4 linked regions of the Tribolium castaneum genome follow. The main gene of each other region encodes a partner of the protein of the gene in region 4 in a complex. Links are inferred from orthologs where the notes say so. Each region holds a gene or a part of one and is shown on either strand. Other genes may lie near its edges. The genes, in order: Orc5, Orc2, Orc3 and Orc4.

Region 1 (3,994 bases), on a different chromosome or scaffold from region 4:
ATTTATAAAGAAAAACTCTGTCACAGCTGAAACGCTCGAAACCATATTATATTGTTCACCACGTCACTAGGTCAATATAATTTCACCAAACTTTACTTCCTTAATTGCCAACAATTAATAATTATTATCCAATCATCAGCCGTCCCGAACCAAATAAACCGAAATAAAATACCCGCAAATTGCGAATTCCCCTCAGTATGGACAATGAACAGTTAAAATATCATTCATCAAACGCCGACTGGCCCATCAATCCCGCTCCGTCCCGTTACCCCCAACGTTTGTACCCGCTGTGCCCTACACACAATGAAACGCATCGATCGTTGCATCGAGGCCGCGGCCTAATGACATAATTCCTCCGTCAATACCATCAAATTTGATATACGCGCGGTCGTAACCTCGCATTAGCAGCTTATTACATCCCTTGCGCGATTTTTTTAAGACACTCCGTGAATATCCATTGACGATGCTTTTACTGCGTTTACCGAGCCAAGCTCTGATTTCCCCTTTGGCAAAAAGAAGACAATCCTCTCGAGACACCCACACTCCTTACCTACCTCGTAACTTCCAGCTATAAACGTTCGCCTCGATAACCAATAGTAAAAATCGGACCAATCGTAAAACAAGGCGCATCATAGAGCTAAGTGATTTAACTTCCGAAGGACGGGCATAAAGAAAAAATCAATCTTATATTAGAAAAATGTATTAACTCATTCACATGTGACTGAAATCACTCAAATATTTGCGAATGTTGAAACCCACCATCTTGCACACTGTTTGGATGAAATCAAAGTTGACGTTACATTTGTATTTGGCTCCATCCAGGCTTGAACTATCGGATAAGCTCGATAGCAATTGCAGTTCCACTAGACTTGACACTTGTACCAATAGATTGTTATTAAAACCGACTTTGTCCTCAACTATGGAATAAAAAATCGCCAGCAATCTATCAAAACTGAAGGGTTTGGGTCCCAGGACAGTGTTCAGCTGTTCGCTCACTTTACTTTTCTTCTTAACATCTCTCAAAGTTTTCGTTTTCTTTCCGTGATACTTCATGAACAGTCTCTTATCGTCCTTTGCAGGATTATAGCTGGCTAGATAGGCAGCAATTAGTAGATATTTGGCATAGAAGGGCAGTTCGAGGCTCTGCGGTAGAGTGACTGTTGAGACTCTCAGATAGAGATTCTGCAGGGCTTGTTTGAGAGTGGGTGCGACTTTTCTCCACAAAGCCAGCGAATCGCTGATGGTGTTTTCTTTACTGATGATCGGTTGACAGTAGTTGAGAAAGTTACTTCTGGCGATATAACGAAGTTCTGTCAAGTCCCGACAGTTTCGATAAAAAACCGAAAGAAAAACATTCAAGTAATTTCGATAAAAGTCGACGTCAAATTCAAACCCTCCACCTTTCGCATTATTGATAATCAGATTTCGGGCATAATCGATATCCAACGTGAGGATCTCCAGTAATTCATCTTTGTTGTATTGAGGAAAGGTGATTTGAATCGGCTCGACGATGTTAGTTTTGGAATAGAACTTCTGAAGGATGATTTGTGAGAGGAAAATGACGCTTATGTGAATCCCTCCGGTGAGCTCTTTGAGTTTGAGAAATCCCGGAAATATGTTGAAATCCATAGTCCGGAGCTTGTCGGCTTTGTCGATAATTAGCACAGATCGGTGTATTTCGGACCGATTCCGCTGCAAATGATCAATGAAATCCATCATGTTCTCGCATTTCGTATCCACTAAGCCACAAAGCTTGCTCAAAATCGTCTCGTACAGGATTTTACTGGTGTAGCATTCGATCATATTGATAACTGCATGCTTAACACCAACTTCCTCCAAAACTCGACTAACAACAATGGATTTGCCGACGCTCGGACCTCCGCTAATGTAAACGCTGCCAGGAAACGGCTCCTCGTTGTGCCCGAAGAGATTATAAAGTTGGCCTATTTGGGAGGAGCGACAGGGCAAAGTCGACTCCAGGCGAGATAGTGTGGACATCATCGCTATTAACCTGCAACCAGAACAAATCCTCTGCTCAAATGTCATAATGCCAAACCAAAAACATATTTCATCTAATCTACTGTCAAACACTCTTAACTTGGCTCCAGTAGAAAAATCATCCGTGGACATTTTAATAACAATTGATGTTCCGGTTCATTATTAATTTTGAAAAACGTCAGCAAAAATCGTCTTGGTGACAAAGAGGGGGGTGGTTAATCTTGAAAAATTCATAAGCTTTTTTTGGACCAAAGTTCTTGAATATTTCACACTAATAATTTCGGTCTTGGTACTAATTTCAAGACAAAACCACGACTTTTCTTGTCTTGCTGCGAGCCATACGTTTCTGGAATAACATTTTGGTTGCATTTAAATAAATAATTTAAATTTGGCAAGAACATCGCATTTCTCAGTTCGAGTGCTCTGTAGACTTTGTCCAATTTTTCCTCCAATTAATCGAAAAAATGATTTATTAAATCTACGTCAGTAGCCGTCCGGCAAAACAATCCCATTCCGAAACATTTCTCCTCCAAAGAATCGATACCAAACACACGAATGCAATATCCGCATCAAATTACTAATCCGACCGAGGAAAAAGTGTATCGTAGCCTTTCGCCCGCCCAACAAAAGCTCACGTCGCCATCAATTCCGGACGATGGGAAGCGTGCCCGGAATACCATCTCCTTCCCATCGACTTTCTTCGATTATCTCTTGATTTACACGCGAAAGCCCCGTTGTGCAAGTCGCCATTCTCGTCGCCTTCATTTCGTCAAAACTTCTTCTTTGGGTAATTATCGTCGAAGTAAGTGCGTCTAATGTCCGATTGCGGGGCGATAGTGTCTAAAAAATGGTGTGTGCGGGGCGCCAGTGACAGTGGAGCTTGCGTAGTCCGCCCTCATCGATTTGCGACCCGCTTGCAGACTCCTGGTGGAAGCGGTTGTGACCTCGAGCCTCCTGCAGTCGAGATTCGTGCTCGCGAAGACGATCATCTGCCGCCGCGACTTGTGTTCGTAAAAGCACCACTGCCACGCCACACACCGACCAAAAAAAGGACGTTGGGAAGACGCACCGCGACGCTGCCGCCGCGACGCGATGTGATTTCTTGCTCCAAGATAAATAAAGAAATGACATTACGGCGCGATTGAGTGACGATGGAAAAGGGTGAGCGATTTTTCCCTTCCATTCTTTGCTTTGCTTACCGCCGCCGACGACAAATATTTAATGTGATCTCGACTGGATTAAGGACGAGATATATAAACGACGCTGAAGAGAAACTGGCCCTTCTTTGACGTTATAAAGAGTTATAGACTTGGGGGAGGTTGCTTTATGGACACATAAAAAATCGGCTTGTCACAGATCTATTGATAGGAGACGCACGGTGGGGCAATAAACGACTAAATGCATTAGGATAAGTGGCTTGTGATGTTTGGACCATGAAATTTCGGAAATTTACGGAAAAAATTGCTCGTAATGCGAACTTAATTCGGTTACTTTTTTATTAACGGTTATAATTACCTCCGAATTTGCAAAGTAACTGAACCATTTGTAACAATATAATGAAATCTTCCCAAATTGCTGATAATTCTGTTATGTAGTTGGAGTTTGGTCTGAAAAATAGATTAGCTTTCAGCAAAAAATTCGGTTTTGTTGCTACAGCGCACAAAAATTTGGAATTCTTCCAATTTTGAGCTCAAGCTCTTTATTTTATTTGGGTTTCAACTAACTTAAAAATTAAACCGTTATAAAACGAAAATATTTGCCGAAATTTAATTTTCGGACATACTCAGAAAATGTAACACTTTTTCATAATTTTTATTTTTAAATAAAGTTTGTGGGTTTTGATTCATTCAACTCCAACAAGAAGATGAATTACTTTATTACTGAATTATTTGTAATTTTTATTTTTTGCTGGGTTTGAAACCTAAAATTACAAATTACCACAGAAAATTGATTATTTTTTCGTTTATTTTTTAGCTTTCTTTTTATTTGAAAAAAT
Region 2 (4,173 bases), on a different chromosome or scaffold from region 4:
TGAAAACAAAAATGAATGATAGGTAGGTCAACAGTTTGGGGTGAAATAATCAATTTTAATTGTGGTGTTTGGAATTCAGGCTAGATTTTGAACAGAGCGCTTTCTCACCGACTGAATTAGATGATAGTTTCATGTATTATTATCGCAGTAAAACACGAGGTTTTAATGACACACAAAATCAAACACTTGCGGCGAACTTGAAAGACAAAAATTGGACTGGGGCCCAGCCCGATTTTTCCAAACACACCCCCTATTGCCAGAAGTTTCTCCAGAACTCGATTGGTAAGTTATCTCAATTATCACTTATCACTGACGCAAATTTTCAAATGTTGACTGAATTTTTTATCGCACTATTTGCTTCAAAATCGCGATAAATGTTTTACGTAACGCTGTTTACTACGTCCCAACTCTTTGTGTTTTTAACCACACTTCATTGTTAATTTTGCACCACGTGTCCACAATAAATAATTCCAAGTGAATTCTTTGTTTTCCTTTCGTTAATATGTGGCCACCCGGTATTGAAACTTATCTAACGCAAACAAGTCTAAATCCAGTTCATTGTTGAATGGCCGTCCGCGCGCACCATGGAGCCCCTCCCCTTGACCGGTAACGCCATTCCCTTGGTGGTAACAGCCCCATATGGTCTTTTCCAGATAGTACCACGGCCCAACAGGTCCGCTTCCCCTCCGCCACCAAGACCAAGTCCAGTGGCGTGGACGACGGTTTCAAAGGCGAGGCCGCGAAATGCGGCACTTCTGTGGTGCGAGTGGCCCACCAGATGGTGTTAGGGAAAGCCATCCGTGGCTTTGACATCCAGAAAAAAGATTGTGATTTGCCCCCAGAGGGTTTCAACCCTTCGTTACGTCGAGGGAGCAAGTCGTTGCCCGCGTCGCCCCTGACGTCCCCCAACTCGTCCCCGAAAAGCACGCGACGCGTGAACAAATACTTCACGGGGCCTTTTGTCGACTCCGAACACCAGGGCAGTTGGATTTTGTCGAATTTGTTGGCCAAGAGGCAGAATTTGTCACAGAGTATGGGCTTTATCGCTGAAGAGGAGAAGGAGATGAAGAGGACAGAGTCGAATTTGAGTGTGGATGAGGTGTCGAATGGCAAGAGGAGTCAGGTGTTTGTACCCAAACCGTCAGAACTTAGGGAAATGAATTTTTGGTCTCCCACTTCCATGTGAAGTGGGCACATTTAATGTTGTCTAAGCAATATCTTTAATTTTTAGTTGGTTTCTTTTAGACATTGATTATTTTTGTAACTGTAATCATAATGCTCATTAAATTTATTTAAGTACACCAAAATCGTGTTTTAATGCCGCAAGATCGACCTCAAAGTCGCTAGTTATTTTAGAACACCCGTGGGTGGTATAAATAGAATTTGTTCTACGACTCGGGTTTTGGCGGGGTTACTTCCAAAAAACGTTTCCATGAGGTAATTAGGGGGCCACATGCTCGGAATAAAAAGCCAAAAAAAAAATATATAAATTCACACCAATATGATAACTTGACCGAGACTATCCAAATAATAGCAATTGTTAGTTGGTAAAGATTACTAGCATAGTAAATTATGCTGAAATTTCGTCCAAACGTTGCTTTTTACTCTACATACAGCTTTCCAAAAAATTTTAAAAATGACTAAATGTCAAGTGTATAATTGGTTGCATAGTCACTTTGTTTTAATTTTAAGTTTGGAGGGCGCCAAACGTTTTAATATCGAAATATTAGCAACAATTTGCACTAAACTTTAATTATAATTGCTGCTTAAGGTTACTAGTGGTCTGAAATGGCAGGTTTGTACCAATTTCTCTCTTATTTGACCTGAGAACCCACCTAACCTCAATTTTAGACGACTGTGCAGACCCTGAGTTATTTTCGCCCCGCAGGGGTTCCCGGCAACGCAATTTGAGTCTAAAAGCTAAAGAATACGTATCTACTTCCAGTAGGAGGAAACGTGGCTTTAAAAAACTGAATATTTCTACAGCAACTGAGTCTGAGGACGATTCCAATTGTGAGAGTAGTGAAAAACCAACAGGTGGACCATTTGCCTGTTGTATAACTTCCTTCATGAGTTTTTTGTAGTTTTGCACGATAATGACCATGTCCCTGGTGATAAATTATTCACGTTTCAAACGCGCAAAAAGTGCGAAGTCGTTCAACAAACGCCGCACGCTTTTAGGGACAAAATGAGGAAAAATATCGTGGCGAAAATTTTGGAAGAGAATGGTTCGAGCGGAGATGATTTTTCAGCCAGTGAGAGTGAATTCGAAGTGTCTGAGGAAAATTCAGAGGAGTCTTCCAGCAGTGACGACACACCGCCTCCCCCGCAAAACAAAAATATTAAACCCACTTTAGGAGCGAGAAAAGTCAATTACACTATAAAAACAGACGATTATTTCGCACAACACGCCAGTAAAAAAACTCTAACGTCCAATCACACTTTAGATAAGTTGGAGACACCAAGACTGCCGCAAGACCAACTGCATAAACTTTTGTCGAGAGTTAGCCTAGGGTGTGAGCATGAAAAAGCCACGAAAAAATTAATCGAGACGAATTGCGCCTATTTTGATAAGTGGATGTATTTGATGCATGAAAATTTCAATATTTTGTTGTATGGGTTGGGCTCAAAGAAGGGCGTTTTGAATGCTTTTCACGAAAAGTGTTTGAAGAAGTTGCCAACGGTTGTCGTGAACGGATTTTTCCCTTCATTATCAATTAAAGATGTCCTTGACGGGATTATTTTAAATTTACTAGAACTGAAGGAAAATCCCTCAAATATTTACGAGGCCTGCGACCTTATCGAGCGCGAATTTAGTTTTATTCCCGAAACTCATTTATACCTCATTGTGCACAACATCGACATGATGCGGAGTGGAAAAGCCCAAAGTGTCTTTGCAAGACTCGCGTCAGTCAATAACATTCATCTAATCGCGTCAATTGACCACATAAATGCCCCCCTAAGTAATGAAAAATTCTAGTAGTGCGCAAAAACTTTGATTGTTGTTTTAGTTTGGGACCATTCCAAAATAAGTAAATTCAATTTCACGTGGTGGGACGTTACCACTTTCCAACGCTATATTGACGAAACGTCCTTCGAAAGCTCAATGTTGGTCCAAAGGACCGGAAACCTGGCCTTATCATCGCTTCGGAACGTTTTCTTATCACTGACGAGCAACTCCAAAGGAATTTACTTAATCCTCGTCAAGTATCAAATCGAAAATGGCAAAAAACAATACTATCAAGGTGATTTATCAGTTTGTGCGTTCAAAACTGATTGATTTGTTGCAGGCCTGGCGTTTAAAGACTTGTACTCTTTGTGCCGCGAGGCATTTTTGGTGAGTTCGGACCTGGCATTGCGGGCCCAACTCACCGAATTCGTGGACCACAAAATGGTGAAGTTCAAGAGAGCGCCAGACGGGACTGAGTATTTGATAATCCCGATTGCAAACGCGTTATTACAGCAATTTTTAAATGAACATTCCGGTTGATTGTATTTTCCAATAAAAATTTAAGTTGGCGCTCGCGTTTGAATCACCTGCTGCCATCTTCGTGGAAGACAGTCGAACTAAAAAACAAGATGGTTTCGCAGTGCTGAATTTTATTTGAGTCAAAAAATCGAATTTTTCGCTTGGTTCAGACGATCATTGTTCGAATTGTACGCAAAAATGTTATTGTGTGTCGTTTCGATATGTCGCCGCCGTGAAGGCGCATGAATGCGTGGTGAATTCCTGGGTGAGTATCATATGTTTATTTTTGAAGGTTATCTTTTGTTGGTGCTTCCACTTTTCGGGTCGTTGGGACACGCGAGGGGGCCGAAATGGCCCCAATGTGGCTGCTCGTAACTGTGCCGAAAGCCGGCCGAGGCGGTGTGAGAATGACCGGAAATTGTGGCAATTTGTAAATAAAAACAAACAATCCGTTTTATCTCTCGGTGTGAACTTTCCAAGGTTAAACCGTCTGCGTGCACGGGGGTGGCAGCCAGTGCGAGGCTTTAGCCCCCCGCGTTATTAATTGACTCCGTTTTGCTCCGGACAGACATTGTTAAGTAATTCAACAAATCCGGGTCAGGCCAAGGGCTACATTAATTCAATATATTGACACACTATCCTTACCTGCTTTTCTTCAAAGAATATCATCGTTTTGTGAATAGTGTATCAGAAAAGTCACGTCC
Region 3 (4,821 bases), on a different chromosome or scaffold from region 4:
AACCCATTTCCCGCAGTTCTGGACGTATTGCACAAAAACTATATCTGAAAAAATTAAAAAAACAAGCTATGATTTTTTTTCTGTACTTTTAACAACTTCAGAGGGTTGTAAAGGCATAAAAGAGTCCATTAAACAGTGGGTTTAAATTATTGGCGAAAGTATTGGTAGAAAAATTTAATAAATATAAAGACATTGGTAGAAAAAATTAGCCACCCCAAGTGAGTCTGGCCACATGGTCAGTCTTCCTTTTGGAGCTCTTGATGAATCCCAAATACTCCAGTTCGGCTACAGCCTGCGTAAATCGGGCCCTAAATGTGCGTTAAGTCAAATTTTATTAAAAAAAATAAAATAAAAACAAAAAAAGGATACTGCAACTGAGGACTGACTTTCGGGTTGTCTTCAGTCTCCTGTGGGTCAACAATACTAAGGAAAGACTGGAGCCAGTCGTACAAATTAATCATTTTCCCACACTCTAAGTGGAGTTTGTAGACGATACTGATGTCAGGCATTGAGGGAAGGATCACAGAATCGGTGGCAATTTCGCAGCAAGGACACTAAAACAATACAGTATTTTCCCCTTCGTGTTAACACAAGTATTGTAAAAAAATAATTACCTGTAAATAAACGTGGGGGTCATTGAGCGCTGTGTGAATAGCCGCCCTGTGAGAGCCTATGATGTGAGTCTGGACTGAAATGTCGTTAAAGAAGAAAATTTCGTGAAAGTGAAAATCGGTCGGTTCCTGTAAATATATTTCGAACTGTTCGGACAAAAAATTGAGTAAGCCTGAGCGGATTTTCTCGTATTTGTTCATCGGTTTGTTTTGCTTCGACATTTGGAGCAATTTCTGGAAGAAAAAACTAGACACGTAATAAAAAATCACCGGAAAAAACCTCTCTGAGTTGTAATCTCCCCATTAGTTCACTTATGCCCTCTTGGGCCACCTCATTTTCGTCTTCTTCCTGATCAAGATTGTGTAAATTATCCAAAAAACGGTTAAGCCTATCGGTTATCACACGCCCCACTTCCAAACCCTCACTGTTATTAACAATTAAATCCGTGATTCTTTTCACTTTGTTACACAATTCGTCCCTCGATTGAAACGCCAGTAGTTGGAAACACTCTTTATATTCCTGACTTTTGGTAATATTTCGTGAAACGGCACACGCGTACAGTTCACGAACCTTCAAAACCTAGTTAATTTGACGATTGCAATGAAAATACTTGACACCTGTTTCCCCAAAGGCGCTTTGGGTAAATCCCCCACAAGAACGTGCAAGCACCTCAAAAACAAGTGCAAATTCGGCAAATACGCCACAATTTTGCGCACTTCCCGCAGCAAAACATTTCTGAAATAATTATCATCAGTCAGGAGCGCGATTCGGGCTTCCGGGGATTCACTCTCGACCAGTTTTCGGAACGACATCAACCGACGAGCATTTTCGAGATCATCGTGCGAGAAATCGGAGATAATTTGCTTGATGTGTTTCCTCTGACAGAGGGCCATAACATTGCCGTAACAAAAATGCTCAAGCATGGCGTACTAAAACCAAAATTTCACGAAAAAGTGACACAATTTTCGGCGCAATCACCTTAAAGTTCTGGATAAAACCGCTGACTGAAAGATCGTAAAATAGGAAAATGTCGGTGAATAAATTAAAAACCTTGCCGCCTAAGTGAAAGGGGCACTGGCGCGAAAATAAAATATTCTCCAATATGTTGTTCAAATAAACCGTGGAGGGAGTTGAGTGAAAAACCTGGATGTTAATGCGCGAGGAAACGTAACAAGGGAGTGACCGATGAACGGCGTTAAGGGACGTCGCAACTCCAAAAACAAAGACAAAGGGTAAAACGTTTAGATACGAGCTCGCGATTTGGATAAAATCTTGCAACACTTTCGGGGCAAAATTCTCAAAATCGGGGATTATAACAACGATTATGTTTTTATTGTGTTTGGTTTTTTGCTTTTTTGGCGAGTTGGCGGTTCCTGGAGGTTGGTAGAGTTCCTCATACCAGGCCTGGAGAAGTGTGAAACTGCACTGTGATTTTTTAATCTGGCGCGTGTCTGAGTCAGAATCCTTCGGAAATCATTGCATCATTGAAACGAAACGCCTTTTACTTTCTTACCTCATCTATAAGTTGTTCGCTTTTGACTAATTGATTGACCATTATTTCAACGAGATATTTCAAACTGTGGCAATCCTCGCCACTGAGAGTAACAACGTGTGGTGTTATTGAGCGTTTGATTTCTTTTTTGAGCGTTTTGAATTGGACTGAATGGTCGGGCATGTTTATGCCAGTGAGTAAAGCTGCGGCTGGGATTTCACTCACTGTGTCTTTGTAACAGTTTTTGAGAAAATTTACTAAACTACAAAGGATATTGGAAAACATGGCGTTATTTAATTCCTAAAATAAATCAAATAAAAAATACTTAGCGCACGAAAGTGAGGATTAGTACTTGAATTTGGGTTTCGATTGATTCCCACAAAGACTTGTAAGTTTTATACCACAAGCTATCACAGTAGAGACTCTGGGTACGTTTGTCTTTCGTTCTGGATTTTTTTGAAGCTGCTTTAGCCCCATTTTTGAAGACAAAAACACCCTGAAATTGGCGCCAAATTGTGAACAATCATTAAATGCAATCTCAGTACGACTGAATCTTGATTTTGCAATAAACTAGTGTTAAGTACGCATATCAGAGGCGGAAAACGTTGATAAAAGAGTGTTACAAAGGAAAAATAGCGCAATTTTAACACAAGTTTTCAGGTTAGGTTTCGAATATTACCTTTGAAACGGACACGGTCGCAGCCATTTCAATAAACAATATTCACGTAACTCTATTGCGTAAAACTAAATAAATTTTTTAGATTAAAATTGTTCAGTAATCACAAATAAGTTACAATTGTTACAACAAACAACAATTTGAAAAATGACATTTGACATTACGAGCCATTTTGAAGCTGGTGGCGCTTTTTATGAAAAGTTTCCAAAACCATAAAAGTAAAAAATACAAATTTTGATTAAAAATATTACTGTGCTGTGTCACACTAAATATATCCAATTATGGCTGTGCTAAATTAATTTGTGTTAATCAAAAATTAAATAAAACTAAAAATATTATCACTGTATTGTTGGTTGCATGCTCAAAAGCTTTATTGTGGCGTGTAAAGAATTTGTAAATTGTAACATTGTAACTTGTATTTTTTATTTTTTTTCTGAAATAAATAATAACTGATTATAAGAATTTCAAAAAAAAACATTTTGAGGGAGAGGATAGCTAGTTACGGTATAGTTAAGAAAATCGCATCCATAAAAAAATAATTTAGCGCACGAGAGATCTTTCTTTATTAGGTGTATCAAGCAAAAAATAAATAATAAATAAATAAATAAAAATAATATATAAATAAAAAAATTATTACTAATTTAATGCACTCCTAAAGCAGGAAAGTGTACTTCCGTCAGAGTTAAGTACAGTGGAACTCCCAACATTTTATTTAAATTTCAGTAAACTTTGTAATCTGACACAGACCTTTCCATAATCTAACGTTCTATTTATTATACGTAGTAGCATTGAACTTCCTCACTCCATATATTCAGCTTACGATTATGTTCATCTGCTAAAATAGCATCTTGCAAGCTTGGCTACCTATTAACCTATTAATCTGTAGCCAGACGTTATTAGAACAAGAGCAAAAATCAAGGCAACACTAAACACCTAACTCTAGTTATGAGTTATGACTATGAGATGTTAAATAATTAAACAACGCAAGAATAAAAAATATTACTAGTGCTTTGAAGCGTTTCCATTTTAGATTTTATCGAAAAAAACCCACCGAAAAGAGTTTTTAAATTAATGTCAAGGTATACTTTACATACCCATGGTTACTTACTTAATTATGTAAATACTTAATTTGAGGTGGTTCACGTTTTACGGTATTGGCCATCTGCAGAGTGCATTTTGTAAGCACAGCAGGTATAAGGTTTTAAAATTGCTCTGAAACATGATGTGTCATCGTATTACTCTGCAGGTGAAGTGTATAACTTTGCGATGTTTGACTGATAAAGAAATAATTGCACGGTTTCTTGAAACATAAAACAAAAGCAACAATCACGTGTGGAAAAACAGAGGCTTAACTCCCTAAAAATTGTATCAAATTGTTTATTTTTTGCCATAATGTTCCAAGAATAAACAAACCAATGTTTTGTTTATTCTTGAAGAAACTCGTTTATCCAAATAAGGCAAACAGAGTGATATGTTGACTCGACACCTCCGTATACTGCCAATTCATAAATCAAAAACAGTTATACTGTAGCTGTAACTGTCGCCAGATTTTTCTAATTTGGATTATAATAGTATTTGTGTGGAAGGCACCGCGATACTGAGTGGGTCATTTGGGCCAAAAATGTGTCAGTTGTATTAAAATTTTGAATAATGATAAACGGTCTATAAAATATAAAAAAACCCACGCCAAAATTTGTGACATGTTTTAAAACAGACAAAAATACACTACTTCGTATTTTATTAACTCGTTGCATAATTAACAAAATATTGCAATTTTCGTGAAAAGAGTTTCTCTGCAGGCAGTTAAGCAGCATTTATGGAACAGATGTCTTTTCGATAAGTTACAGAAACCGGAGGCTCATAAACAGCTAATTAGTTGCGGTTTGTGCCGTTTATGGAACCTATCGAAGAGATCGGCATCATAATATTGGTTTCTTAACACTTATCTTTTTATTTTATTTTTGGTTTACATAGAAATAGATTTTTTTCGTCGATAATGTTTCTTTGTTTTTTGAAACTAAATTAAACAATATACCAAACT
Region 4 (3,792 bases):
AACAGCCCCTACCAAACACCCTTGACGATTTTTGGAGAATGATCAAATATCGCGAAATTAACACAATTGTCTCACTTAACGAAATCGACGGAAGCGACCCAGTAATTGAAACAAAAAACCACAACATGCTTTAATTGTAATTTTCAGCGCTGTCCCAAATTTTGGGCACTTGATACCGACTCCACAAGTCTAGAAATCTTAGAGGAAAACAACAATAAAACCTATTCCACCACAAAATTAAAAATTATGGACAAGCGCGACACATCTGTCGACAAAATCATCAATGTCTTGGAACTTAAGAACTGGAAACGCGAAACTCCACAGCCAAAAAACGTCAAAGACTTAATTATGGTCTGGAGGGAAATGTTCAGTAACTCGTGGAAGGGCACTAGTCAGATTGTTGTCACTTGCTAGTAAGCATACATAATCGTCCGATTAAAAAAAAATATTTTCGAAAAATTTAATTTTTAGCGACGGTGCCACCGCTAGTGGCCTGTTTGTCGCCCTTGCTTTTCTCCTCGAAAAAATTAATTACGAGCAGGAATGTGATGTTTTCTCCGCTATTAGGGCCGTGAGGCAAAGTCGGGAGCAATTTGTCCAGGAATGGGTAGGTCAGCAACACGTAATACACTCTCGTATTATGTGCCGCATGAAAACAATTTTTAATTAAAATAAAATTTATTTTAGGGCCAGGTTGAGTTTTTGTACAAAGCTGCAAAATTATACGTTGAGGAGTTCGATAATTATCACAATTTTAACTAAACTAAGGAACTGTTGGCATACTGAGTTACTTCCGTTGGTAACCCAGTTATTTTTTTAACAGCTTCTGTTATTTGGTGAGGAAGGACTAGCAACTTAAACAGTTGATACTCCTTTTGTACCGTAGAATTGCCGGTGGTTAACGGAGAGATGAGCTCAAGATTCTAAAAAATGATTTTGGATGTAGATAGAAGAAATAATAACGATATTTTACTCACTTCTATTTGCTCAAAAGCTTTCATTATTACAGGCCTTTCAACGGTTTGAATATTGGAATTAGCGTTTGCAAACTTTAGATATCTGTTAAAGACCATTTCAAAATTCATCGGCTGATTGTCGTAGATTTCACAATGATGTTTCATTGTTATTATTAAACACAGTTCAAGCACGCTTAAGTCTTGCAACACTTGAACTGTCTCATCTCTCTCGAACAATTCTATTTGTTTTAAAAACGTATCGTACGCTAATTTATTGTTAACATCGTTAAGTTCAGACACCACAAGCAGCTAAAATAAATCGTTTTTAAAGTGATTGTCTTTACTTTGTCCAATCCTTACCAAAATATTTTTCAAACTTCGCTCACTCAAGTCTAAATCTATAAGTCGTTGCATGAGAGATTTAAAATTCCTGTCCTTAAGTAAAGTGTGAACACTCGAATTCCACTGTTTTTTAAACGATGGAACAATGTTTAATGACTGTTGAATTGGAACCAAAAAATATTTTTGTAACCGTGCCAGTCTTTGATCTAAATGATTCTCATTATCATTTCCTAAAAACAGGAAAATCTGTCTGTGGGAAAACCTAGACTTGACACGTTTTTCCAACAATTCTATCACGTCTAATCTACAAGTAATGCCTACAAAATTTTGGAAATTACTTCAAACTGGAATAAAAATAGTTATAACGCACCTAAAACGCAAATTGGTGTTTGTGCTGACTGGGACACATCAAACAGATTATACAGCAAGGTCTGGTTGTGATGTGAACAAAACAAATCGAATTCTTCAATGATAAAAATAATGCTCTTTGAAACGCCCCTCTCGCCTGACTTTAAGCACGCCAACAGAAACGTTAAGTTATCAGCAAAACTCCCAAAAACCTTGCCATCAACGGCGTTTTCTAGATTCATTTGCGCTGTTATGCTTTTCAAAGCTATACGATCGTCTGTGTGGATTAGACCATGCAATTTTACCAGTATTGCGTCTGATGAAAAATACGGTTGCAAGTCCCGCAAGACATTGTCAACTAACTAGTTAACAACAATGCTATAAAGTGGTTTCAAAGGGTTATTCAGAGACTCACTGTTGTTTTTCCGGAAGCACGGGGGCCTATGAGTAACGCCGAATTTGACTCTCCTGAAGTGATGGTCCTGTGTAACAAATCAAACACTTGTTGGCGCTCATCTTCATGACCCACGAAATCACTGTTGTTTAAAATGTTGTTCTTGAGGAATTTACGTAGATTAAGTACGTTTTTATCACTTAAATTCTTCATTTTAAAAACAACTTTGACACTTGTTGTCAACACGCAGAGCGACCAACATAAATCTTTTCCCGCGCATTGACTTCTGCTAATTTTGATCGATTTTGCTTAGAACCGAATTTGCTTTTATTACATTTACTGACCATATACTTTATTTTCATACGTGTCTTGTTACTGCCACTTATATATTTTACTAAATCTTTAATACAAAACGCTGACCGGTTAATAAAATTAGAATTCGGTTTTGTAAGTATTCGGAGTGATAAATTTTCAATTGCATTGTGATTGAGCGCCAAAAATGTGTGAACAATTTTTTTGAAATTAAAAATGTGATAACACTTAAGAACTCGTGTCGGAATGCATAAGGAAAGCTTTACTTTATAATATTCCAACTACCAGTTTTGTTTTTTGGGTTTACAAGTGGTGTGTTGAAATGAGGTTATAAATTGTTCTTGGTCTTTTTGTGTTAATTAAAAATGCAACACCAACGTTTATCTCGTGAATTGGCGAAAATATCAAACTCTCCCCCTGTGGGTATTAGTGTATCGCCCAAAGACGATAAGCTAAATGTACTGGAAGCTCAAATTGTTGGCCCCGATAACACCCCGTACAAAAACGGAATTTTTAAAGTGGAAATTTTAATCCCTGAGAAGTACCCCTTTATTCCACCTTCAATCAAATTTATTACGAAAATGTATCATCCCAATATTGATGACAACGGGAGAATTTGTTTAGATTTAATAAAAATGCCGCCTAAGGGCAGTTGGAGGCCCACAATAGGATTGGAAGGTTTGCTGATAGCGATAAGAATGCTTTTGGAGACTCCAAATCCAGAAGATCCTTTAATGGCCGAAATCGCAGAAGAGTACAGAAACATGAATTCAGAATTTGTGAAAAAAGCACAATTATTTACACAAAAATATGCTTCTTAATTAAATAAATTAGTTTGTAATAAGCTAAATTTTATTGAGAAGCCCTCCTTTCGACTTCAACATTTTCAGTCCTTTTCAAATGAAGACTCCGTCTATTGTCCTTCTTGTTCTGAGCACTGCTCTCGTTCAAATCCTCGTCTTCTTCACACTCCTCAGCAAGACTGCTCCTCACAGCCTCGGCAAACGCCTCGGGATACTGCGTTGAGAGTTTAGTTTTAATAGCACGAATTTTCTTAAAAATATAGTCCAAGTCTTTTTTCATCTCTAACAACAGCTGTGTGTGTTTTTTGAACTCGGGTGCAATCGTTTTTAACCGGTTCGCACTTAACGCATTGCAATTAGTGAGCATCTCATTAGTTTTTTCGAATCTTTGTAACCTTGAATGGAACGATCATGAATGACTTGCAAAATTATAATTACAAACTTTGTACATCTGTTTTTGCGCTCTTATCATCGATTCGACATCCTGTTGATCAACTATCCCAGCTAGGCCTTGGATAAAGACCTCGGGGGCTGTGTAGTTTTGAAAACATTCAATACTGAAATCACTCTCGGGGGTGCCCTTGCTGTCATCCATTTTGCGTTAGCTTCGAAAATCTTCAAACCATGTTTCATTAAT

Evidence for each region.
Region 1: the proteins of Orc4 (region 4) and Orc5 are in contact, whole or in part, in a cryo-EM structure (PDB 7JPO), measured with the Homo sapiens proteins. The link is inferred for Tribolium castaneum from reciprocal best matches to the Homo sapiens genes ORC4 and ORC5. Residues at the interface, in NP_001177808.1 of Homo sapiens: Ser18, Gln21, Arg22, Arg25, Glu26, Cys29, Arg30, Gln31, Arg69, Thr74, Asn100, Leu102, Leu103, Gln104, Ile105, Ile109, Glu113, Arg116, Asp162, Arg277, Met281, Met284, Leu285, Asn288, Met311, Asp312, Ser313, Lys314, Asn316, Ile317; in NP_002544.1 of Homo sapiens: Ile17, Ser20, Leu21, Phe22, Gly23, Glu24, His26, His27, Phe28, Ser29, Phe30, Pro31, Tyr36, Gly37, His38, Thr39, Thr98, Phe99, Asn100, Val103, Arg104, Arg131, Glu134, Asn136, Pro139, Gly140, Arg143, Gln145, Glu146, Leu147.
Region 2: the proteins of Orc4 (region 4) and Orc2 are in contact, whole or in part, in a cryo-EM structure (PDB 7JPP), measured with the Homo sapiens proteins. The link is inferred for Tribolium castaneum from reciprocal best matches to the Homo sapiens genes ORC4 and ORC2. Residues at the interface, in NP_001177808.1 of Homo sapiens: Lys168, Asn169, Arg195, Glu200, Leu201, Lys204, Arg205; in NP_006181.1 of Homo sapiens: Asp501, Asp504, Tyr508, Ser512, Gln518, Glu522, Val554.
Region 3: the proteins of Orc4 (region 4) and Orc3 are in contact, whole or in part, in a cryo-EM structure (PDB 7JPO), measured with the Homo sapiens proteins. The link is inferred for Tribolium castaneum from reciprocal best matches to the Homo sapiens genes ORC4 and ORC3. Residues at the interface, in NP_001177808.1 of Homo sapiens: Pro370, Lys374, Glu377, Gln381, Ser392, Gly393, Asn394, Ser395, Gln396, Arg397; in NP_036513.2 of Homo sapiens: Thr227, His260, Arg261, Leu262, Leu263, Pro264, His265, Ala266, Ser269.

The regions. Positions count from the first base shown.
Region 1 is NC_087395.1:24,006,594-24,010,587, reverse strand, and holds the end of Orc5 (origin recognition complex subunit 5), read right to left. Parts: intron 3,160-3,994; coding exon of another isoform or gene 3,150-3,159; exon of another isoform or gene 2,464-3,149; intron 2,032-2,463; 5' UTR 2,002-2,031; coding exon 712-2,001; 3' UTR 685-711; downstream 1-684. Other genes in the region: uncharacterized protein LOC663028, read left to right, coding at 3,150-3,159. UniProt on the Homo sapiens protein: Component of the origin recognition complex (ORC) that binds origins of replication. DNA-binding is ATP-dependent. The specific DNA sequences that define origins of replication have not been identified yet.
Region 2 is NC_087397.1:6,381,820-6,385,992, forward strand, and holds Orc2 (origin recognition complex subunit 2), read left to right. Parts: upstream 1-1,637; 5' UTR 1,638-1,788; coding exon 1,789-1,795; intron 1,796-1,851; coding exon 1,852-2,037; intron 2,038-2,084; coding exon 2,085-2,963; intron 2,964-3,011; coding exon 3,012-3,245; intron 3,246-3,290; coding exon 3,291-3,490; 3' UTR 3,491-3,519; downstream 3,520-4,173. Other genes in the region: uncharacterized protein LOC655336, read left to right, coding at 1-22, 80-282, 654-1,186. UniProt on the Homo sapiens protein: Component of the origin recognition complex (ORC) that binds origins of replication. DNA-binding is ATP-dependent. The specific DNA sequences that define origins of replication have not been identified yet.
Region 3 is NC_087398.1:1,394,977-1,399,797, reverse strand, and holds Orc3 (origin recognition complex subunit 3), read right to left. Parts: upstream 2,960-4,821; 5' UTR 2,811-2,959; coding exon 2,784-2,810; intron 2,601-2,783; coding exon 2,457-2,600; intron 2,405-2,456; coding exon 2,126-2,404; intron 2,077-2,125; coding exon 1,591-2,076; intron 1,542-1,590; coding exon 1,230-1,541; intron 1,183-1,229; coding exon 892-1,182; intron 846-891; coding exon 615-845; intron 555-614; coding exon 370-554; intron 309-369; coding exon 206-308; 3' UTR 160-205; downstream 1-159. UniProt on the Homo sapiens protein: Component of the origin recognition complex (ORC) that binds origins of replication. DNA-binding is ATP-dependent. The specific DNA sequences that define origins of replication have not been identified yet.
Region 4 is NC_087396.1:11,890,998-11,894,789, reverse strand, and holds Orc4 (origin recognition complex subunit 4), read right to left. Parts: upstream 2,326-3,792; 5' UTR 2,254-2,325; coding exon 2,062-2,253; intron 2,009-2,061; coding exon 1,669-2,008; intron 1,616-1,668; coding exon 1,317-1,615; intron 1,288-1,316; exon of another isoform or gene 1,266-1,287; coding exon 924-1,265; downstream 1-923. Other genes in the region: receptor-type tyrosine-protein phosphatase F-like, read left to right, coding at 1-101, 148-413, 472-607, 688-762; kxDL motif-containing protein CG10681, read right to left, coding at 3,205-3,550, 3,605-3,750. UniProt on the Homo sapiens protein: Component of the origin recognition complex (ORC) that binds origins of replication. DNA-binding is ATP-dependent. The specific DNA sequences that define origins of replication have not been identified yet.